4 linked regions of the Schizosaccharomyces pombe genome follow. The protein of the gene in region 1 purifies or fractionates together with the protein of each later gene. This does not show direct contact. Each region holds a gene or a part of one and is shown in the gene's direction. Other genes may lie near its edges.

What was found.
Region 2: the proteins of mip1 (region 1) and tor2 purify together in Schizosaccharomyces pombe (affinity purification with western blotting; 5 studies listed by BioGRID, with this or other methods). This does not show direct contact.
Region 3: the proteins of mip1 (region 1) and wat1 purify together in Schizosaccharomyces pombe (affinity purification with mass spectrometry, with the first as the bait; one study listed by BioGRID). This does not show direct contact.
Region 4: the proteins of mip1 (region 1) and ste11 purify together in Schizosaccharomyces pombe (affinity purification with western blotting, with the first as the bait; one study listed by BioGRID). This does not show direct contact.

Annotation. Positions count from the first base shown.
Region 1 is NC_003424.3:1,516,723-1,523,032, reverse strand, and holds mip1 (WD repeat-containing protein), read left to right. Parts: upstream 1-1,590; 5' UTR 1,591-1,742; coding exon 1,743-5,684; 3' UTR 5,685-5,810; downstream 5,811-6,310. Other genes in the region: coatomer gamma subunit Sec21, read right to left, coding at 1-1,246, 1,291-1,321; ssz1 (putative heat shock protein Pdr13), read left to right, coding at 6,167-6,244. UniProt on the Schizosaccharomyces pombe protein: Component of TORC1, which regulates multiple cellular processes to control cell growth in response to environmental signals. Tor2 is essential for growth. Nutrient limitation and environmental stress signals cause inactivation of TORC1.
Region 2 is NC_003423.3:916,353-924,044, reverse strand, and holds the start of tor2 (TORC1 serine/threonine protein kinase Tor2), read left to right. Parts: upstream 1-1,692; 5' UTR 1,693-1,760; coding exon 1,761-7,692. Other genes in the region: protein Cwf11, read right to left, coding at 1-1,320.
Region 3 is NC_003423.3:1,661,175-1,664,874, forward strand, and holds wat1 (TORC1/2 complex WD repeat protein Wat1/Lst8), read left to right. Parts: upstream 1-1,766; 5' UTR 1,767-1,772; coding exon 1,773-2,717; 3' UTR 2,718-3,186; downstream 3,187-3,700. Other genes in the region: myosin-binding vezatin family protein Inp2, read left to right, coding at 1-1,215; vacuolar transporter chaperone (VTC) complex, GTPase regulator subunit Nrf1, read left to right, coding at 3,408-3,700. UniProt on the Schizosaccharomyces pombe protein: component of both TORC1 and TORC2, which regulate multiple cellular processes to control cell growth in response to environmental signals. Nutrient limitation and environmental stress signals cause inactivation of TORC1.
Region 4 is NC_003423.3:3,981,778-3,987,935, forward strand, and holds ste11 (DNA-binding transcription factor Ste11), read left to right. Parts: upstream 1-1,598; 5' UTR 1,599-3,808; coding exon 3,809-5,215; 3' UTR 5,216-5,623; downstream 5,624-6,158. UniProt on the Schizosaccharomyces pombe protein: Key transcription factor for sexual development. Activates the transcription of the matp, matm, mei2, mfm, ste6 and rgs1 genes. Binds specifically to a DNA fragment carrying a 10-base motif 5'-TTCTTTGTTY-3'.

The DNA of each region.
Region 1 (6,310 bases):
CAAAGTATATTACTAAGAAAGGTAAGCATTGAATCTTGCTTGCGAGGAAATTTTAGACATAAAGAACGAATGGCATCAACGACGATAATTTTGAAATTATCTGAAATATCGGACATAAAGGTAACAATCTGTTTCATCAAACGGTCGACAGACTCATCATTACCAGTCTTTAGAAGTGTTGTGATAGCGTAGGTGGCAATGGAGCGATTCACGTCGGTAATTAAAGACTCGATATTAAGATTGCAGGAATGTACTAAGTGTGGACGTGTCATGGCTAACTCGTTAAGCGTACGAATAGCTGAAAATCGGGTAGCGGATCGGTGAGACGACAAGAAAATTTTAAGAACGCTAACCACAGGTTGCAAGTCATCATCTGAGATATTTTTGAGACGGACCATATTTCTAGCAACTTCTAAGTTTACCATGTCTCCTTTACTTTTTAACCACCCATGTAGAAATGGAACCATCTGGTCTCTAAATTGAGTGTTTTGATCCATTAGACTAGAAATGTAGCGGATAAGCATAACAAATGCATGAGAATTTGAGACTGTTCCTAAATTGCTTACAAGCAGCTGCAATAACTTATTCATTGCAATCGAATCATGTCTTCGAATACGGTACAGAAGACCTAAAGCATGATATTGAGAAATGCCGCTGGCATTTGGTGTGTAACCCAAGGTAGAGGTGAAAAAAGGAGAGCTAGCAACTTTTCTACCAACATTATGAGATGTGACCGCGTCTTGAACCTCGTTGTTCCAACGCGATACAATGTCTTTCGCAACAGGATATAAATGATATGCGGAAACAAGAGCAGCGCTGGCAACAGCTGATATGGGGTCAACAATACCCGTAGTTAAAATGCGTTCAATCGCAGGGACAGTGTTAGCATCAATGACACGAATCAAAGAGCGAATAGCATTAGGACGGTATATAGTTTCACGTCCCGTAGCGGTGTCTTTCATGATACTACTGGTAATCATAATCACATCTTCAGCAACAACGGAAAGCTCCTTGATAATAATATAAACAAATTGGCGAAGACTAGGGTCTTTGTGTTGGAAAAGTTTAGTAATACCAAAAAAGAGTTCTGTAGCTTGCTTTTCCTGGAAATGCTCTCCCGTATATATCAAGTAGGCGATTTTGCTAAGAAGACGTCTACTCTTTCTAGGGCTTATGGAAGATGAATTAAAAGCCCTAGCATCTTGAGTTACTGTGACTTGATTGACATTGGCAAATATCGATTCGTCTATTGTTAAAAGGTCAGCTCATAATTCCAAACAATCAACATACCACCATCATCATCTTTTTTAGAATAACTCATCTTCTTTACAAAAGTCTCTTGTATTTAGCAGAAATACAGATATAGAGAACTAAATGAACGTACTGGATGTATGTAGTAGATAAATAATTAGCTAGTAGGAGGTTTCGATTATTACCAAAGTATAACGTGTTGTGTATTTTATATTTCTTAAGTGGATTACTGAAGTATTTTACGAGCGTTAAACAGTATAACGAAATATGCCCATAAAACACTGCAAAAGTTCGTAACTTACATGGTTTAATTGCTTTGACATTTCTCCTATATCACTTGCGTAATTCGTATATACATACAGAGTCATCTTAATTTTCTCTTATTTTTTTTTGTTTTGTTAATTAAGTTTCCCTTGAGTTCCTGATTTACCGACCTTTTGTACATAGGGAAGAGTTCTTGAAATGTTGTATTTGATTTTGAGCTATGCGACATGAATGATAGAATTAGTGAAGTATCTGGTAGCTCAAGGGCTCGTAGATCAGTCTTAAGCTATGGAACAACCGAGACCGGAAGCGATAGATACACAGAGAACAGCAACATTGCTACAGAGAATGGTGTCGATACAGCGAGTTCAATGATAGATGGGATACAGTCCGGATTCCCGCAACCTAGACATGGTTTTGAAGAAGAGTACAACAATGCTGAATATATAAACATGTTAGAGCAGGTCTTTTACATGTATTACACTGATAAACGGCATCGGGGGGTGATCAGCAAAAAGAATGCCGAACCTACTGAAACAATTCATGATTGGAGAATGCGCGAACGGCTTAAAACTGTTTCTGCAGCATTGTTAGTTTGCTTAAACATAGGGGTGGATCCTCCTGATGTTATAAAGCCTAATCCTGCAGCGAAATATGAATGTTGGATTGATCCGTTTTCATTACCTGCTTCTAAAGCACTTGAAGCCATTGGCAAGAACTTGCAGCAACAATATGAAACATTAAGTATGAGAACAAGATATAGGCATTACCTTGATCCCGCAATTGAAGAAGTCAAAAAACTTTGCATTGGTCAAAGACGAAACGCTAAAGAGGAACGGATCCTTTTTCATTATAATGGTCATGGTGTCCCAATGCCTACTGCCTCTGGTGAAATCTGGGTTTTCAATAAAAATTATACTCAATACATTCCTGTATCGCTTTATGACTTACAATCTTGGCTTGGAGCGCCTTGTATATATGTTTACGATTGTAGCGCAGCTGGGAATATCATAGTGAATTTTAATCGTTTTGCCGAGCAGAGAGACAAAGAAGCTCTCCGTATTGCTAAGCAAAATCCCAATGTGCTCGCTATGCCTTCTCATACTAGTTGTATTCAACTTGCTGCTTGTGGGCCTAAAGAAACCCTTCCGATGAACCCAGATCTGCCAGCTGATTTGTTTACTTCTTGCCTTACCTCCCCAATTGAAATTTCGGTTCGTTGGTATGTCTTGCAAAACCCGTTTCCTAATAAGCTTAATTTGAATATGCTTCTTAAAATTCCCGGTCGCTTGCAAGATCGGCGTACTCCATTAGGCGAATTAAACTGGATATTTACTGCTATTACAGATACGATTGCTTGGAATGTCTTTCCAAAGCATCTTTTCAGAAGATTATTTAGGCAAGATCTTATGGTAGCAGCACTGTTTCGTAACTTTCTATTAGCGGAACGTATAATGCTCGTTCATTCCTGTCATCCTCAGTCCAGTCCTGAACTCCCCCCTACCCACGATCATCCTATGTGGAATTCTTGGGATTTGGCCATTGATAATTGTCTATCTCAGTTACCTGATATGCTTGATGCTGAAAGCAAAGGCATAGCCTACGAGTACAAGCATTCGACATTTTTTAGTGAGCAATTAACTGCCTTTGAGGTATGGCTCTCTCAAGGACTAATTAGCAGAAAGCCACCGGATCAATTACCGCTAGTTTTGCAGGTATTACTTTCACAAGTTCATCGATTGCGTGCACTAATTCTTCTCTCAAAATTTCTGGATCTCGGGGTGTGGGCGGTAGATTTAGCGCTCTCTATTGGTATATTTCCTTACGTTTTGAAACTTCTCCAGTCTCCAGCTATTGAGTTAAAGCCTGTGTTGGTATTTATTTGGGCGAGAATCCTTGCTGTAGATGATTCTTGTCAAGCTGACTTACTAAAAGACAATGGCTATGGATATTTTGTCCAAATTTTGAACCCTAATTCTTCCATTTTTCCTTCAAGTAATATTTCCGAACACCGAGCAATGTGTGCGTTCATCCTCAGTGTTTTTTGTCGTGGGTTCCCACAAGGCCAGCTAGCTTGTTTAAACCCACAGGTTTTATCACATTGTCTTTCCCATTTAAATAGTCCCGACTCTTTATTAAGACAATGGGCTTGCCTATGTATTTCTCAGCTTTGGGAAAATTACTCTGAAGCTAAATGGTCTGGAACTCGTGATAATGCACATGTAAAATTAGCTGAAATCATCGTTGACTCCGTTCCTGAAGTTCGTGCATCAGTTTTAACAGCGTTTACCACTTTTTTGGGATTTCCTGAGAAGACCGAAGAAGTCGTTGCTGTTGAAACTTATATTGCAATTGCGGCGTTAGCAGCTCTTTCTGATGCGTCACCATTAGTTCGACATGAACTAGTGATATTCCTTTCTCACTTTGTAGTGAATTATAAGAAGCAATTAATGGTAGTTGCGTATGAGAGCAGTTTAGCAGATATCCTTGAGAAAAAGAACCACAATTCTATCAGTGCTTCGACAATTTACGAAACAGTTTGGCAAGCTGTTTTGGTTTTGGCTGCAGATCCAAGCATCGAAATTTCTCTTGCAGCTGAAGCCATAATAAATTACGTTTATCAGAGTATGCTAAATTCTGAATTAAGAGAATCATTTTTAGCATTTCTTCTGCAACACTTACCTGCTCTCCATAAAGCTTCTCTTTCCAAAGATACCGATACTAATTCAGTTACGAGCGACCCGAAGCCACATCCCTTCGTTCCTTCTGTTTCAGAAAACAAAATCTTGAACAGGTCATTCTCTCTGACTAGATCGTTGAAAGGCTTGGCTTTAAGCCTGGCAGGAAGTGATCGCGCTTCTGAATTACTTTCCTTAAATGGAGAAAACAAACCTGCAGAGTCTAATTTAAATCACTTAACTTCCGCCAAAGTTCCTGGTCCACCTGCATTTAATGAACTTGAATACCAATCCGAGCTAGACATGCCGCTTACAAGTTACTTATTTGATTGGTCTCGTAAGTATTTTACCGAACCCCAAATGCGGCCGAACGAAGACGATGAACCTGGAAGTATTTGCTATAATCAACGTTTGTGGAGAAGAAACAGAAACGAAAAACTTATTTATCGTACTCGTCCCCTTGCTGAATACTCAACCAACGGTCGTTGGAATCAACAACTTATGACATTTAATAATACTATCGCTCCTAGGAAGCTTATGTTTCACCAATTTGAAGATCAGTTAATTACATTAGGTGACAAAGATATCATTCAGGTATGGGACTGGCGTCGCAATCGTTGCCTCAATTCTTTCAAAACTTCAGCAAGTGCGACAACTAACGTGACCGACATGCAATTACTAAATGAAGATGATGTTGCTTTATTGATGACTGGGTCTTCTGATGGCACAATTAAACTGTATCGTGACTACGAAAATGAAAAGGTTGAACTGGTAACTTCGTGGAATTCTCTAAGTGATCTTGTCTTTGGAGATCGAAATGCTAGCCTTTTAATGAGTTGGCAACAGAACTGTGGGCACTTGCTTGTTGCTGGAGACGTACGCGTTATTCGAATATGGGATGCTTCTAAAGAAATCTGCTATGCAAACCTACCAGTAAGAAGCAGTAATAGTATTACAAGTTTAACTAGCGATTTGGTCGGTTGTAATATTATAGTTGCTGGATTTTCAGATGGAGTTCTTCGTGTTTACGACAAACGATTGCCTGCAAGAGATTCACTAACGGATGTTTGGAAAGAACATTCGTCCGAGATCGTCAATGTTGAAATGCAATCCTCCGGAATGCGAGAATTGATTTCGGCGAGTTCAGATGGTGAAGTTAAGCTATGGGATATTAGGATGAATCATTCTTTACAGACTTTTTCAACAGACAACTCTGGACTCACCTCTTTAACTGTGCATAGTCACGCCCCAGTTTATGCAACCGGTTCCTCAAATCAAAGCATAAAAATTTGGGACACGTTAGGCCAGAATATTAATACCTTCCGTGAAAATCCACGGTTCCTTAATCAGCCTAAACCATCCAGTTTAATGTGCCTGAAGTTTCACCCGCATCATTTATTACTTGCATGTGGTGATAACACAGATAGTAGAGTTAATCTATACTCTTGCACCAAAAACGAGATTCATACGGATTCGCCGAACGAGTTTTAAACCATGTTTTCCTATAGTTTTAACATAATTTATTATTGATTACTTTACCTGATTAGACTTTTCTTTCTATTAGCAACACTTAATTTGGTTATTATACATATTTTGCTAAACCTGCCACTTTGCTTAGTCTTCTCCTTTGCCGTGTAACTCTGCTATAGATATTTGTAAAACCAATTTTTAATATGGTTTTGAAGAAGTTTAAAAAATCACTAATTTACAATTAAGATATTACATTCATCGAAAAATTGAATCTTTTATATACATTTTATGAAAAAGCTAGTAATTATCAATGTTTTTTAATGTCAAGAAAAAAAAGCTTTTTTTAACTTAAAAAATAATTAATAATATACTAATATACCAATTTATTTATTTATTCACAATTTCATGTTTTCGCATTGTACTATTACTTTCTTATATTCGGGTCGTAAATTCTGATGCAGCTGAAGCTAACGAAAACTCTCCCATTCAGCGAAAATTTTATAATGGCAGATTCCGAAGAATACAAGACTGTCATTGGAATTTCTTTTGGAAATCAAAACAGTTCTATTGCTTTTAATAGGGTAAGAAAATTTTTTTACTTGGAGAAATGAGTAATCTCCTAGTTCATTCGCATAGACTTGCTTTAT
Region 2 (7,692 bases), on another chromosome or scaffold:
AGCTTTACTCTGTTGTCTCATAAAAAAAGATATAGAAAGATATTGTATAGCAGTGTTTTGTAGTAGGAAGTAATTGGTCAAAGAGTTTTCTTGGTCCATCACGGATCGCTCACCAAGTACATCTTTCAAAGTAAAATTTATGATTTCATCATAATCATTTACCAATCTAGTCCTATCATACGTGTTAATAAAAACATTTTTTAAAAATTCGAAATCCACTTTTATAGCATATTTTTCGGGAAATGAAGTCCTCAAATAACATTTACTACACAAGGACTTAAGTGAATTGAAGGAAAGAAAAGACGTAATTTCCTCCAATTTTTGTCGCTGTTGTAAAGAGGTTTGTGTGCAAAATACCAGATCCCCTAATTCCTTCTGAAAATCCGAAAATAAAGTTAACTGTAAGTGGTAGTACACAAGCTCATCATTTCTGATTTTTTGTTCTTTCTCATATTCGTTACCTCTGGTATTATCAAAAGGGAATTTCAAAACATAGTTTAAGTCGTCTGTCATTTTTTTAAAAAGCTCATTACTGTCGTAATACAAAGACATTCTTAATGCGGTATAAAAACAACTGTCTTCTATTACGGGATGAGCAAAGCGACGTGTGGGAAATGCGGATAGTAAAACCAAAGACATATTGATAATTGCTAAAAGGGGGGTTACTTTCGCTTCTTGTTTTTCAGTTTGAGCGTAGCTAATCGATTTAATAAGCAGAGAATGAATCCAGCGGGAAAGTAAATTATGTAAAGGGAACTTTTCAACGATAGACGGTCGTTTTTCCTTATAAGAATCAAAGGCTTTCGTCAGAGAGCTTGAGTCATGTAGTAAATATTTTACTTTATCAAGATTATCAAGCGAATTTAAAATAGAAATGTTCGTTAACTGGTAAACAAGTTTCCTTAATTTCTCTATATTCGAAAACTGAAAACAGAGAGTAATGAATTGAATCATGTAAACCACTTCTGATAAATTTAAGGATAAAGAGACTTCAATTACTTTTTCAAAAAATAATTGAAACCGATTTTCATCAATGAGGTCCCATGTAATATATTCATATTTGGATTTGTATAATAGAAGCATACAAGTTAAGTTTATATGGTTCAATGACATCTCAGTATTAACCCTCTGCCAAAGGAAATTCTCAAAAAGCTTTAACTCATGTAACAGACTAAGTACTTGCTTAGCATCTTTACTTACAATGACAGCTTCGAGGATGCATTGTAGCATAGTTTCTTGAAATTCTACACCTTCATTTTGACCCCAATTCGAATTTGCATAATTAATGATTTGTTTTTTTTTGTTTTTATACAGAACCATTTAATAGAGAAAGGGATATTAGCAATATCACAAGTGTTGTGAACTTGGTGGTTAGCGTCAGAATCTTTAACAGCGATTCTTATTTGTTCTCCTCTATGAGCTTTGAGAAAAATGTAAAGTAAAAAACTTAAAGTAATACTTCGAAAATAAAATTTAGATAATCAACACTCGTTTTTGGTATTTTACCAAAGTTCCTAAGTTTAGACTTTTTTTAATAAAACTTGGATTTTTTGAGAACACTAAATATTAACTTGTATATCTATTACAAATAATTAATCGTCATAAAAATATTACTTTTTCAATCGTGTTTCTATTGATCTCCTCTCTGCGTATACTAAGAATTAGGTGCAAAAGTACAGCAGGTGCTTGTTTGGTCACCACCAACCACATTTAATAATTTTGTTTAATTGAGAGAATGATGCTAATTTAAGCTGTATATAATGAAAGAATTTCCTGGGTTGAAAAGCAGGAATGAAGAAATTCGCAATAAAGCGGCAAATGATCTTTATGAATATGTTATAGCTTATTCTCGAGAATTATCGGGCGAAGCTTTAGTTCAGTTTAACAATGATGTTAACAAGTACGTTTATACTTTAATTCACAGTACCGATCCACTCGATCGTCTGGCAGGCGTAACTGCCATAAATCGTCTAATTGATTATGAAGGAGAAGATACTACAAGGATTACTAGATTTGCAAATTATTTGCGTATTATTCTTCCAGGAACTGACCAAAAAGCCACCGTTCTTGCTGCAAAAGCTTTAGGGAGACTTGCAGTTCCTGGAGGTGCTCTAACTTCTGAATTTGTGAACTTCGAAGTTAAACGCGCTTTGGAATGGCTTCAAGGAGAACGTAATGAAAATCGTAGATATGCAGCAGTGCTTATACTTAAGGAGCTTGCCAAAAATACGTCTACATTAATCTATGCTCATATCGATTCAATTTTTGAGCTTTTATGGCATGGACTTCGGGATCCAAAAGTTACTATTCGAATAGCTTCGGCTGATGCGTTGAGTGAGTTCTTGAAAATCGTTAGGCAAAGGGATTCATCCATCCGTCTCCAATGGTATACAAGTATTCTCAATGAAGCTCAACGTGGTGTTGCACAGGGTTCTTCTGATTACATTCATGGTAGTTTACTAGTATATCGCCAATTATTTTTAAAAGCTGGAATGTTTATGCATGAGAGGTATCGAGAAGTATCGGACATTATATTGCAATTCAGAGATCACAAAGATTTGCTTATTCGCAAAACCGTTACAGAATTGATTGCTACACTCGCAGCTTATAATCCAGATGAATTTGTTTCCAATTATTTACACGTTTGTATGCTCCATCTACTTAATCTATTAAAAAAAGAAAATGTTAAGATGTTGGCGTTTGCCACTATTGGAAAAGTTGCCGTGGCTATTACTAATAGCATAATCCCATATCTTGACCCCATATGCGATTCAATCAAGGAAAGTCTAAAAATCCATATCCGTAATAAAAGTGCTTCGGATGCTGCAATTTTTCAATGCATTAGCCTACTTTCTATAGCACTAGGACAAGCCTTTTCAAACTATGCGTATGACCTCTTTGACTTAATATTTGCAAGCGGACTTTCTGAGGCTTCTTACCGTGCTCTCTCAGATCTGGCCCATAATATACCTCCATTATTACCAGTCATACAGGAACGACTATTAGATATGCTCAGCAAAATTCTAAGTGGTCGTCCTTTTATTCCTCCAGGATGTCCTCCCCAATATGTAGCAAGATCTTTAAAATCTTCAAAGAGTGCTTCCCTGAAGACAGGATTTTTTCCCAATGACGTCTATATTTTGGCTCTAAAAGTTTTGGGAAATTTTGACTTCTCCGGTTATATTCTTAATGAATTTGTGAAGGATTGTGTAGTTGTATACCTTGAAAACAATGACCCGGAAGTACGCAAAACCGCCTCCATAACCTGCTCCCAACTATTTGCTCGTGATCCTATTTTATCGCAGACTAGTGATCATGCGATTCAAGTAGTTGCCGAAGTGCTAGAAAAGCTTCTAACAGTTGGTATTTGCGATACTGTTCCAGATATTCGGCTAACTGTTCTTAATTCTCTCGATTCTCGCTTTAACAAGCATTTAGCCCAAGCAGATAAAATTCGTTTACTTTTTATTGCTATTAATGATGAAAACTTTGCTGTACGAGAATCTGCATTACGGATAATTGGAAGACTAAATGTCTATAACCCTGCCTATGTGATGCCATATTTAAGGAAAATAATGTTAAAAACTTTAACAATATTGGACTATTCTACAATTATCAGAACTAAAGAAGAGAATGCCAAGTTATTGTGTTTATTAATTGCAGCAGCTCCTCGCTTAATAGAGTCACATGTGGAACCAATACTGCAAATACTTTTACCCAAAGCTAAAGATTCTAGTTCAATTGTGGCAGCTAGTATTGTTAATTCGCTTGGTGAAATATGCCAAATCAGCGGTGAGGTTATTGTTCCTTTTATTAAAGACTTAATGCCGCTAATAATTGAGGCTTTGCAGGACCAAAGTTCTCCTATTAGGAGAGCAGCGGCTTTAAAGGCTTTGGGTAATTTATCAAGCAGCACCGGATATGTAATTGATCCGTATATTGAATTCCCTTCTTTACTTGATATACTTATTGGCATAACGAAAACCGAACAAGATATTACTATTCGTCGAGAGACTATTAAACTAATAGGTACACTTGGTGCTTTAGATCCCAATAGGCATCGTGTTTTAGAAAAGGGAACAGAAAAAGTAGTTCCAGAACAGAAAAACATTCCTCCTGACATTTCTTTGCTGATGTCGGGCATTGGTCCATCATCCGATGAATATTACCCCACAGTCGTGATTACTGCTTTGATGAGTATATTAAAAGACCCGTCCTTAACTATTCACCATACTGCTGTTATTCAAGCTGTAATGTATATATTCAAGACCATGGGTCTCAGATGTGCCCCCTTTCTTTCCCAAATTATTCCAGAATTTATCGCAGTTATGAGAACGTGTCCTACGAACATATTGGAGTTTTATTTTCAGCAACTAAGTATTTTGGTCCTTATTGTTCGTCAGCACATACGAAGTTTTTTACCAGATTTATTTAAGCTTATCAAAGATTTTTGGAACCCGCATTCTAATTTACAATTTACAATTTTGTCGCTAATTGAATCACTGGCTAGAGCAATGCAGGGAGAGTTCAAGCCATACTTACCATCTTTATTAGTAATGATGCTACAAATATTTGACTCTGATGTATCAGTGGACTCAGTCAGTACAAAAAAGGTATTGCACGCATTCATCGTCTTCGGTGATACATTAGCTGATTATTTTCATATGCTCTTGGATCCAATACTTCGACTGTATGAGCGAAATGATGTTTCAATCGGTATAAAAGAAAGTATAATGATTACAATTGGACGACTTTCAATGGTTATTAATCTCTCGGAATATGCATCAAGAATTATACATCCTGTTATGCGTATGCTTTCGTGCAACAATGCCTCTCTCATTCGCGTGAGTATGGATACTGTATGTGCGCTTATATATCAACTTAATGTTGATTTTGCTATTTTCATTCCAATGATTGATAAGTGCCTTAAGATGAATGGCGTTACTCATGAAACCTACTCGATACTTGTTGAACAATTTTTACAAGAACAGCCTCTTCCTATAAAACTCAACCCTTATGAAAAATACGATAAGCCTAAATTAGATGTGGTAGCTTCCGCTGCTGATATAACCTCTAAAAAGCTTCCTGTAAATCAAGAAATCCTCAGAAATGCGTGGGAAGCATCTCAACGATCGACTAAGGATGACTGGCAAGAATGGATCCGACGATTAGGCGTAGCTCTCTTAAGAGAATCACCTTCACATGCCTTACGAGCATGTGCTGCTTTGGCTGCTGCCTATCAACCTTTAGCCAGGGACTTATTTAACGCTAGTTTTGTTTCTTGTTGGTCTGAATTATATGATCACTTTCAAGAAGAATTAGTTAAGTCGATTGAGATAGCTTTAACGTCGCCACACATATCTCCTGAAATTATTCAGATTTTACTCAATCTTGCGGAATTTATGGAGCATGATGATAAACCACTTCCGATTGATATTCGTACTTTGGGTGCCTATGCAGCTAAATGCCATGCGTTTGCTAAGGCTTTACATTACAAGGAGCTAGAATTCATTGAAGAAGAATTGGTGACAAAACCTTCGGTTGATACAATTGAGGCCCTAATTTCAATCAATAATCAACTCCAACAACCAGACGCAGCTATTGGAATACTTAAACATGCTCAGCAGCATGACAAAATGAATCTTAAAGAAACTTGGTACGAAAAGTTACAAAGGTGGGAAGATGCTCTGTCAGCTTATGAAAAAAGAGAAGCTGCTGGCGCTGGCAATTTCGAAATAACGATGGGCAAACTTCGTTGTTTACACGCTTTGGGTGAATGGGATCGATTATCTCAGTTAGCTCAAGAAAATTGGATTCATGCTGGTCATGATGCGCGACGGTATATTGCACCGCTTTCCGTAGCCGCTGCTTGGGGGTTAGGTCAATGGGAGCAAATGGATGAATATATTTCTGTTATGAAGTCTGAGTCACCAGATAAAGCTTTTTTTAACGCGATTGTGGCTCTACATCGATCACAATTTGAAGAAGCAGCTTCTTATATCACCAGAGCTCGAGATTTACTTGATACTGAGCTTACTGCGCTTGTTGGTGAAAGTTATAATAGGGCTTACAGCGTTGCTGTCCGTGTTCAAATGTTATCCGAATTAGAAGAAATCATTACCTATAAAAAAGCCGAGGACAAACCCGAAGTTCGTGAAATGATAAAGAAGACATGGGTTAGACGTTTGAAAGGCTGTCAGAGAAATGTGGATGTTTGGCAAAGAATGTTAAGAATACGATCTTTAGTTATTTCACCCCGTGATAACATGGAGATGTGGATCAAATTCGCTAATCTCTGCAGAAAATCTGGTAGGATCAGTCTAGCGAAAAAATCACTTAATTTACTCCTTGAAGACGACGAAAACTTAGATAATTCACTCGTCTTAAAGAAGACTCACCCTTCAATTGTCTATGCAAATCTAAAGTTTTTGTGGGCTGTTGACGATAAAAGGAAGGCTCTTAATAGCATGCAAGAGTTTACTTCTCAGCTAATTTCTGACATTAATGTTGACCCTGCTCTTTTTGTTCAATCTACATCAGTTAATACTCAAAAATCACAAGAAGAAATTCAATATTATTTTCATCTTCTAGCTAGATGTTATCACAAGCAAGGTCAATGGCAGCAAGAAATTGAGAATAATTGGTCAGAAGGATCTTTTGATGGAGTTCTTCAATCATATATGTATGCTACGCAATTTGATTCTAAATGGTATAAAGCTTGGCACTCTTGGGCATTAGCTAATTTCGAAGCTGTAAAGTTTTTGGAGCAATCAGAGGAGCAAATCCCAAGTGCTGCATATGAGCAGTATATTATTCCAGCAGTCAAAGGCTTTTTTAAGTCAATTGCTTTAAGCAAAGGTAACCTTCAGGACACCTTGCGCCTTCTTAATCTTTGGTTTAAATTCGGCAATAATAGCAATGTAATTAATACTTTGAACGTTGGTATATCCACTGTGAACATCGATATCTGGCTGGACGTTATACCTCAGCTTATTGCGAGAATTCATGCCTCCTCTTTGAGTGTTCGTAAATCTGTGCATCAGTTGCTTTCCGATGTAGGTCGCGCGCATCCCCAAGCTCTTGTTTATCCTTTAACTGTAGCAGCAAAATCGCAGAGTTCTGCTAGGCAAAACGCTGCTTTAGCAATTATGGATTCCTTGAAAACACATAGTCCACGTCTAGTTGAACAAGCAAGACTTGTTAGTCATGAGCTTATCAGAGCTGCAATCCTTTGGCATGAACAATGGCATGAAGGATTGGAAGAGGCTTCACGATTGTATTTTGGTGATCATAACATTGAGGGTATGTTTGCCGTGTTGAGACCATTGCATGAAATGTTGGAACGTGGTCCGGAAACGCTTCGTGAAATTTCTTTCCAACAAGCCTTTGGACGTGACTTAGTCGAAGCAAGGGATTGTTGTATCCGTTTTGAGCAAACTGGTGATATATCAGACTTAAATCAGGCCTGGGACTTATATTACCAAGTTTTCAAGAAAATTCGTAAACAGCTACCTCAGTTGACAACATTAGATTTACAATACGTTTCTCCTAAACTCTTACATGTACATGATCTTGAGTTAGCTGTTCCGGGAACATACGTTAGCGGGAAACCTGTTATAAGAATTGTAAAGTTTTACCCTACATTCAACGTGATAACATCTAAGCAACGTCCGAGACGACTGAGTATTAAAG
Region 3 (3,700 bases), on another chromosome or scaffold:
ATTCAGTACATTATTTATACATCTGAACTCCTCGTAGGAGATCACGAGCTACAGCGGTCACATCATGAAGAACAGCCTTCTTTGGTTTATCCTTCTTCATCGTTCAGTTCTACGAGCAAGTTTTGGAGATACTTCGCCTATCTGCTGAGCTTACAAATTGTAATAGATTTTGTTTTATACAAATTATCATCTGCAATGGCAAGTCTTCATTATCTAAAGTTTGTGAAGATAATAGCCTTATCTTATATTTGCTTCTCTTCGCTCATACGGATTTGTCATTGCTGGACATATTTTATTCGTATTATGGGATTATCCAGCTTAAATAAGTTTGTCAATCTATTGCATGATTTTGAAACTACATCTAATCGTGTTTACTCCCAAATTTGTGAATTGGAAGCAAATTCGGCAGCAAATCGCTCCCGGTTAATGGACTTCCTTCCTGCCAATGATCCTTTATTGTTTAATCTTACGGAACAAAATACTTTAAGTTACGAACTGTCTGGTTTGTATGAGAAGCTTTTACCTAGATACCAGCTGGTTCTGTCAAGAATATATCCGTATGCAGCTGCTTCCAACCTTAGAAACCTATTATCACTATATAGACTTCCAAATTGCTTTGGTAAATTAAATTCGTTTGACCTCCGAAAAGGTTCCTCAACAAGCTTAAAACGGAGTTCCATGTACCTAGCCCGTAAAGAAAACCAAGACTTTGATGACCAATCCACCCAAATTCTCAATCACATCAAAACTGCTTATTATGAATTAACTATAATCTCTAAGCAAGTTCTATGTTGCATACTATCGTTTCCGGTTGATTCATTTTTAGCTGAAAGGTCTTCATGGCTCATTGTTCACCGGGAGGTAGGTGACCTCTCTAATGCATTGTCTGTGTCGATGGTTCGTCTCGTTGACATCTTAAAGTTTTCAGTTGAATCGGTCAACCGTAATCAACATAACACTACTAGCAAACCTTTCCCCAGGATCATGTGCAAAGAAAATTTGCGCAGTCTTTTTAACGAGTTGCACTCTGTAATGATGGAAACTCATGAGTCTATCAGCTCATATATTCAAGAAGGAGACAATACAGCTATGCAGACATATGCTATGGATGAATATGATCAAGTTGGTTTACTGCTCAAAGATTTGCTCTCTGAATGGGACTTTAATAGAGCACTACTTCTCAACTTGCAACACATGCACCGAAAGCGTAAATAATTTTGGCTTTCAGAATTTTAAACCATATTTTGCTTTTATGATCTTTTTTATCCATTATTGTCCGTTTCTGTTATACGTCTTTCGGAACCTTGTTGGTTTTAATAGTTAGGATAGTTATTATAAACTATTTACAAATCGACATTTATCTAGGTTTAAATGTCGTTCAACTCAGCAATGATGTCTTTGTTGCTTAAAAATTTGCCTTAACCTTTCGTCCTGTATAATATTTTAGTTATACCAGTTTATCTTTACACTTATGCTTATGCTACTTATTGCAGGCGCAATTTTTTAAAAAATTAAATTAACATGAATTTACTATTATTCTATGAATTTTCCTGTTTTTATGGTCAAAACTGTTAAATTTTTTAAAGTTTTGATGGCTGTAGATTTAAAGTATAGATCGCCAATCGTGCGTTTACAAGTCATGCTACAAAAAATTTACTAAATATATAATATAAACATATTTAATTGATTTTAAAAATTTTCAGTCATTAATTCTCTCTGTATTCGAGTTTGTTTAATAACTACAGTATAACAGCGCTCCATTCTTTAACCACATGTCAGTACAGTATCCACCACAACATTCTGTTCTGCTCGTCAGCAGTGGATATGACCATACCATTAGATTTTGGGAAGCCCTAAGTGGAATATGCTCGAGAACAATACAACATGCGGACTCTCAGGTAAATCGTTTATGTATTTCACCTGATAAGAAGTTTCTAGCAGCCGCCGGAAATCCTCATGTAAGATTGTACGACATAAACACTAGTAGTCAAATGCCATTAATGACCTTTGAAGGGCACACCAATAATGTTACAGCCATCGCTTTTCATTGTGATGGTAAATGGCTTGCCACATCGAGCGAGGATGGAACAGTAAAGGTGTGGGATATGAGAGCCCCTTCAGTTCAGCGAAACTATGATCATAAATCTCCTGTTAATGACTTGTTAATTCATCCAAATCAAGGTGAACTGCTTTCATGCGACCAAAGTGGACGAGTTCGTGCATGGGATTTAGGAGAGAATTCTTGTACACACGAACTTATTCCGGAAGAAGATGTACCTATGAGCAGCATTACTGTTGGATCTGATGGTAGTATGCTTATTGCTGGGAACAACAAAGGAAACTGCTACGTTTGGCGAATGCTAAATCATCAGGGTGCTTCATTGCTTCAGCCCGTTGTCAAATTTCAAGCTCATCAGCGTTATATCACTCGCTGCGTCTTGTCTCCTGATGTCAAACACCTTGCTACATGTTCTGCCGATGCTACAGTGAATATATGGAGTACGGAGGATATGTCATTTATGCTTGAGAGACGACTTCAAGGGCATCAAAGATGGGTTTGGGATTGTGCGTTTTCTGCTGATTCTACCTACTTAGTAACCGCATCTTCTGATCATGTTGCAAGGCTTTGGGAGTTATCGAGTGGTGAAACAATCCGTCAGTATTCGGGTCATCACAAAGCTGCTGTTTGTGTTGCTCTTAATGACTACCAAATTTAAGTGTTTCAAAGCATTTTTCAAAATAAGTTTACGAGTTATGTTTTGTTGTATTTTTAGCTCAACTGATGTTGGAAAATTACTTCTATATATTCAAGTTTATTACACGCCTTTATCCTATTTTACCTTTGCTATATAGATTTTATTCACCAATCTTCTTAGGAAAACAAGAGTCTTGTCTTGTCAACATTCGTTTATATTAAGTGTGTCTGATTTCAAGACGATTTCTTAGTCACTTACAAATTTTTTATAAATTATATTCTTCCCTTGATACAGTATTTGCTAGTTTCATATCTCGGAGTTTTTATGATAAATAATAGTCTTAAGTGATGATAACTTTTGAAAATTTTCAATGCTTATTAGTGTAGTTTAACTTATTTTACAACTTTTATCTCTAAACATGATAGGATTAAGTAGGAAAAGTTACATATCCTCGTGTCCTTAAATGAAATGAAATGTATATCTTCATTAGCTTTCTGGTTAGCGAAGAAGCGAATTTGATAATGCAAAATTTGAAGAATTTAGTCTCGCTAAATCTGCTAATTAACTTACCGAGACTTACCGTAGTAAGATACGAAAAAAATTTCTAGGCCGTTCGACACAGCTGACCTTAACCACAACTCACAGCCAGCACATACTTAATCTCGCGAGGAGAAAAAACCTTCGATTTATAGCTCACTCTTTCCACTAACAATGTCTACTCAACCTCTTTTACAAACTACTCCTGGTAAAAGAATTGCTCTTCCTGTTCGTGTTGAACCTAAAGTTTTTTTCGCTAATGAACGTACTTTCCTTTCTTGGTTGAGCTTTGCAGTAGTTTTGGGTGGTTTGTCAGTTGGTTTACTTAACTTTGGTGATCGAATTGGTAAGATTAGTGCAGGACTTTTCACTATTGTTGCTATTGGTACCATGGGTTATGCTCTTGGTATTTACCACTGGAGAGCATCTGCTATTCGACGACGCGGAAGTGGTCCTTACGATGATCG
Region 4 (6,158 bases), on another chromosome or scaffold:
ACAATTTGTGAAGTTTTTAGCTATAAATTTATCGGTTTAGGTTATTTTCAAAGTATAGTCGTTTTCAAAAAATTATATTCGTTTTCAAATTAAATTCGTTATCGTTCAGTAGTAACCTTTTTCATTCAAAACTCGTCTTCATCTATAACTAATCTACATCTTCATCTTCATCTTTACCTCTACTTTCTCCCATCTCTCCTTCCTATCGTCTCCTTCCTCTCTGCATCTTGCCGGCCGCCATTTTCTGACTCGGCGGGTCATCCACCTTTTAAGCTCAACCTTGTTTTGCTGGTCGCTCGCTCAATTCTTACAAAAGCCCAGGTTAATAGTGCGATTGGGTGATATGCAATGGAAATTAGCGCATATCTCAAGTTGTACGCACACATACGCTAATCTGGCGGCAATTCCTATTTTCTATTACATTGCATAAGTCAAAGCTACTTTGCACAAATTCAAGTAGCATTCATTTCCTTCTCTAAAATAATGTCTAGTCTTTGGACTTTTATCGTTTTCAATGGTTTTATTTCTTTTTTCCATTCCATTTATTTTTTTTTTGAAATTTTCACCTTTCTCAATTTATTCGTCGTTCTTTTTTTAATATAATAAGATTATACTTTTACAGCATACATTGTGTCTCACATAGTCTCTTCCATCGCGTTTCCCATTTTATGATCTTGCTAAAAAAATGTCATTCTTATGCAAATCACCCTGTACTACCACAGCACTTACCTTTCCGACATTCTTGTTCTCCATCTTACATGTCTATCACTGTAGCGATAGATTATTTGTGGTGCATGCCATCTCCAGGGATGATGGAAGGGAAACACAAGCACCCACGCCTAATTTTCGGTAAATTGTAGCAAAATTCCAATGGCAATGACTCGATAGAATCATTGTATGTGTGTGGTTTCTTTCCTTCCGCTCGTAGTACCTGTATTTTTCATCATGACTCCAAGTCTTCGCCATTCTTATTTCACTCCCGTTCCGTTCACCCCAAACTACTTCCTCATCACTTGCTTACTACTCAAACTGCCGGCACTTGTTTTCACACATTCGCTATGCTTTTTTATTCTTTTAACATTTGCTTAAACCTTACCTATAATACCCTGCGGTTTCGCAAATTGCCGCTCTTCAAATGCCCGCTTACTCTATTTTGCTTTCTCCACCCCTCCTTAACTCTCCAACTTCCCCAGCGTTCTACAATTCCTCATTCATTGGAAGACTAGTCGTTGGCTTCTTGTCATTTTGCCTTGCGCTATCTCCCTCAACGAAAAGTAGCTTTGCGAGACTTTTTGCCAAGTGCCACACTAATCTTTTGTACAGGGGGGAATCCCTGACTTTGTTTGCTGTGTTACATCGTTTGTAGGCAAGTAAAAGTGACAAATGCTTTCGCATCATATGTTACTTTAACCCCTGTGAATTTTGTCCCTTCCCCTCATACACATTTTGGCTAGACTTAAAAAAGTTGAATTTCTTTGTTTGATTTTCATTGTCAGTAACATCGCGTATTACGCCTCGCTCTATACTCTTACTAGTTGGTTGCCAATGCGTATGTATATATATATATATATACATACATACCTGGTGACTTACATAGTGAGAATCTATTCATTTAGCATATATTAAAAGGATATCCAGCGTTGAATTGTTTCGCGTCGTATATTGGATTTTCTTTATTATCAAATAAACAAAGCATTATTAGCATTCTGACTTTTCAATCTTAAACCTGATTGTGAATGCTAAAAGAAAGTATTTCATTTGATTAGTTTGCATTTTATTTTTCTTTGAGAGCTTTTGCCTCGTTTTTTTGTTTTCTCTTTGTTTTCTTTTTTTTTTTTACTCAACTTAACTTAACTTTTCTGGTCTTTGTCTTGATTGCAGCTTGTCGTCTTTGAATTAGCTTGCCTCCTCCCATTCTTTCCTGTCTATTCGTGTTAAGTCTATTCCTTTATCTTGGTTTGCTTTGGCTTAGCTCTATTCTTTTCTTTGTTTTGACTTTACTTTGACTTATTTTCACTGACTATTTCTAAGTTTAATTTGTTGATTAATTTTTATTCACATCTCTTCTTTTCTTTATAGTAAACAGACTTAAACTTTTTTTTCTTCTTCTATTCTGTTTCTTCATTTTGTTGGTCCAATTGGCTTCGCTTCTCTCTTCAAACTTTTCTCGTTTTTCTTGCCTCTACGTTCTTTTGGGATCCTCCTCTGTTGGAATTGTTAATTGAGAAGTGTTGGAATAATTTTTTCGTTTCTTGAAATCAAAAGGATTTTATCTTTTTTTTTAATTTTTACGTCGATTCCCTTACTGTACGTCGAATCCCCCCCTTTTTTTTATTTTTTTTCTACGTCAAAATTTTTTTATATATTTCTTTGTCTCTACCACCATAGTTATCCTTTATCAACTTTCTCTCTACTAATTAACTAAGTTGTTTCTTTGTTGCAATTTTTGCCCAACTTTAAATTTTTTTTATTCGCATCGTTATTCTATCGCTTGGCTGCTTATCCTTGATATCTGATCTATTAGATTTTCATTCCTCATTTTATTTTAATATCCTTTTTTTAACGTGTTTCTTTTGTGATTCCATTAGTACACACCATTCAGAATTAAGTTGCATTCACCATCGGTCTTTGTTGGCTCATGTTATAACATTATTTCTCCCCTGTCATTGTCGCATTATTCACGTATTCATTGGTATTCCTCACTTTATTTGTATACCCAAAGTTTCACCATCTTACAGAGCTCAACCATTCTTCAGTTATCGGTGTCTCTGAAATTTCTCCCTTGTTACGCCTTTTTATTTGACTCACTTTTCCGTTATTTAGTCTTCCGTTTCGTCTGTTTTTCCTGTTAACTATTCCGCTCTTTCTTGTTTTTAGTTTTTCCTCCGTTTTATATAGAGAAAAAAAAGCCTTAGAGGCTCGTGATTTTGTTCTCGTTTTCAAATCTCCTCAACTTAAAATTAGGCTTATAAGAAAATCACTTTTAAAGCTTCAATTTTTTTCTTGTGGCCTTCTATTATATATCACTTTCACTCCTTCTTCCACTTGGACCTCTACTAATTGTCTCTTTCAAGTTATCCTTGATTCAATCGCCTTTACGAAAAATATCCTTCATCATTCCAACTCGATCTAGTAACTTTTCAGTCTCAACTTTCATCTTTTTTTTTCTACGCTTCTTTACATTTTTCAAATCGGCTTTGAGTGTTGCTTCTGTTTTTTTCTTCTTGAGCTGGAAATTCCATTAGTTTCATTTATTATTTCATTACCTTACTTTTTTCGTTTAGGAAAAACCTGGCATCAAATATACTTTTGTCACTTTTTTCTTTTTTTTAGTCCAGTCAGTCTCTATTCATTAAGCTTGAACTTGATTTCTTTGGCGAACAAGCTTGTTTAATATCTAGATTGACGGAAATTTTATTTTCATTTATTTGTTGATACATACAAGGGAATTTTACTTTTACTATATTCATCTGTTACTTCACTGTGAATAATTTGTTCATTTTTCATTCTTGTTAGTTTGAGATTTCTTTCTATCTTAATACCATTTTTCTTTTTTTAAATAGAAAAAAATCCTTCACACCAGTTTTTATTCGGTGTTTATTTCTTTACTGTTTTCTGATCTCATCCCCTCTCCCTCGGTTTGTGCTGTTCGCTTCTTTTCTACTTCGTTCTTTCTGACTGCGAACTTCATTTATGTTTGCTTTGTTCTTACTGAATCATCTTTCTAATTAATTCTAAGAACCGTTTCATTTGTTTTATTTTCTCCCTTACTTTTACTACAATTTTTATATTTACTCTTCTCTACACAATGTCTGCTTCTTTAACAGCCGAGCAAAAGGACCAAAAAAGTTCTGTTAAGCGACCTTTAAACAGTTTTATGCTTTATCGTCGAGATCGCCAAGCTGAAATTCCTACTTCTAATCACCAAAGTATCTCACGTATCATTGGTCAGCTGTGGAGAAATGAAAGTGCCCAAGTCAAGAAGTATTATTCTGATTTATCCGCCCTCGAAAGGCAGAAACATATGCTGGAAAATCCCGAATACAAGTACACCCCTAAAAAGCGGTCTACTGTTCGTAGACGCCATAAAAAGGTATCACCTTCTTCCGGATCTTTTGTGGCCTCGGATTACGTTGTACTGCAGCAAATTGCACAATCTTCTAAGACTCTAAAACAGACCGAACCCGAAAAGCCTGTTAATGAGGAGGAAACTTTAGCAGCTTTATTAGCTCCCGCTCTTTCATATCCAAAGTCAGGTAAATCGAATCTTATTGAAACCAGTGAATTGTCTTGTCTTTCGTCTTCCCCAATGATTCGAAGTCATACAATTCCTTCCTTATCCTTCACCGATCAAGTTTCTACAACTATTTCTACATTGGATAAATCCGAGCAAGCTCCTAGTTCTTTGGGCATCTATTATAGATCACCCAGTAGCGGTAGTCCAATCGGGCGAACAAAATCTGTGTGTTTAGCTAATAAAGCCCGAATAGTACCGAAAAGATCAATGTCATCTGATGGCTGTGTTGACAAATCTTATCAAATGTCAAAAACACCGAGCTTGGAGGCGAACTTGCCTCAAAATTCAAGCAATTGCTCTGCTCGAAGAGTTCCAAAATTTGATTCTAAAGGAACCGTGAGTGAGCAAAGTAACTCTGATAGTCCAGAGCTGTCAGCCGATAAAGTGTTGTCTCATTGTAGTCCTATTGATGCTCGACCCTCAACTCCCTCTTGCCCCAATGCCAGTATATCACCTAAAACCCCGAATACCGGTGATCATTATGGTTTTGATGGAGCTGAGTACCTAGGAACTCCTCTCAGTGTAGGCAGCACTACTGCGTATTTATACGGCCAAGAGACCGAACTTTTATCTACGCCTTATTGCCATACTTCTTACCCAGCAATGAGTCGATTGAACAGCAGTTCTGGCTATACATGCGTCTCTTCGTCTAGTGTTACCAATTCTGGACATACTGAAAATAATACCTGGAGAAGCGACGAACAAAGTAAAGGCTTTGTTGACATTAATAGTTTTTCTCAAAGTTTGTTCTCAAATGGCAATTATGAGTTCGCCGCTCATTCTCAAGAATTGGATGATTTATTTTCACAAATTACGGATTTTACATCAACTGATCCTATTGCTTCCTCACTCAAAGATGCTAACTCATTGGGACCTTCTCTTTTAGAACCTTGGTTGCCCAATTCTAATTTATTTTGAAAATATTTCTATGCAAACATGGCTTTGTTTTCAACAAACGATCATTTTTAACGCGTCACAAAAGCATGCAGCTGATTTGTTCATGTCATGCTTAAAAATCTATATTTTTTTAATTTTGCATATCTTTGTTATGCTAGATGATGCCTTCCATAATTTATTTCATTTACCTTTTAAACTCTTTAATTATTCCCTTTTTATGTTTATTATAGGAATATGTGTATACTTAGTTTCCAAAGAGCACATTGGGCAACATTGAATAGTTGCCCACTAATTTTCTTTTTTTTTTAATTTTGAACAATGTCTTACGTTATGAATTGATTTCTTACATCTAATTTCCTGTCATCTAATTTGGGCCCGTTATTACATATATATTGTAGTTAAAAAAATATATATTATATCGCAACGTAATTTCTAATTTTTCTCTTCCATTACTTTCGTAAGAATGTTAAGTATATATATGTTCATTATTTTCTTTACGTATCAAGCAATCATCCAATGCAGTATTGTTATCACCATTTCACTAGATATACTATCGATGAAGGTTTACTTGGCACCCACACCTACTGGGGTAATGTAAAGATAACTCAACCAATAAATTGATTAAGAATAAAGGTAATTAAATTACCTGACAAAGAAACTTATAGAATTCATTCGGTTTCAATGGCGAAAGGTATCTATCTATAAATGTTTATAGCATTCGGCATTCAAATATTTCATGAAAAGCGACGGATTTAAAGAAGTAATGCTATCAAAAATCGATCAATTATATTTTAAAATTATAACGCAAGTCGTAAGAATCTTTGTATATGTTGGATTGCAAAACTGTATTATTTAAGAATGAAAACAAAAAGAAAAAGCCTTAACTCGTCTTTACCCACTAACAAAAAAAAAAGAAAAAAGTTAAGTTTAGAAACAATGAAACTCTTTAATTAAAGTAACGAAA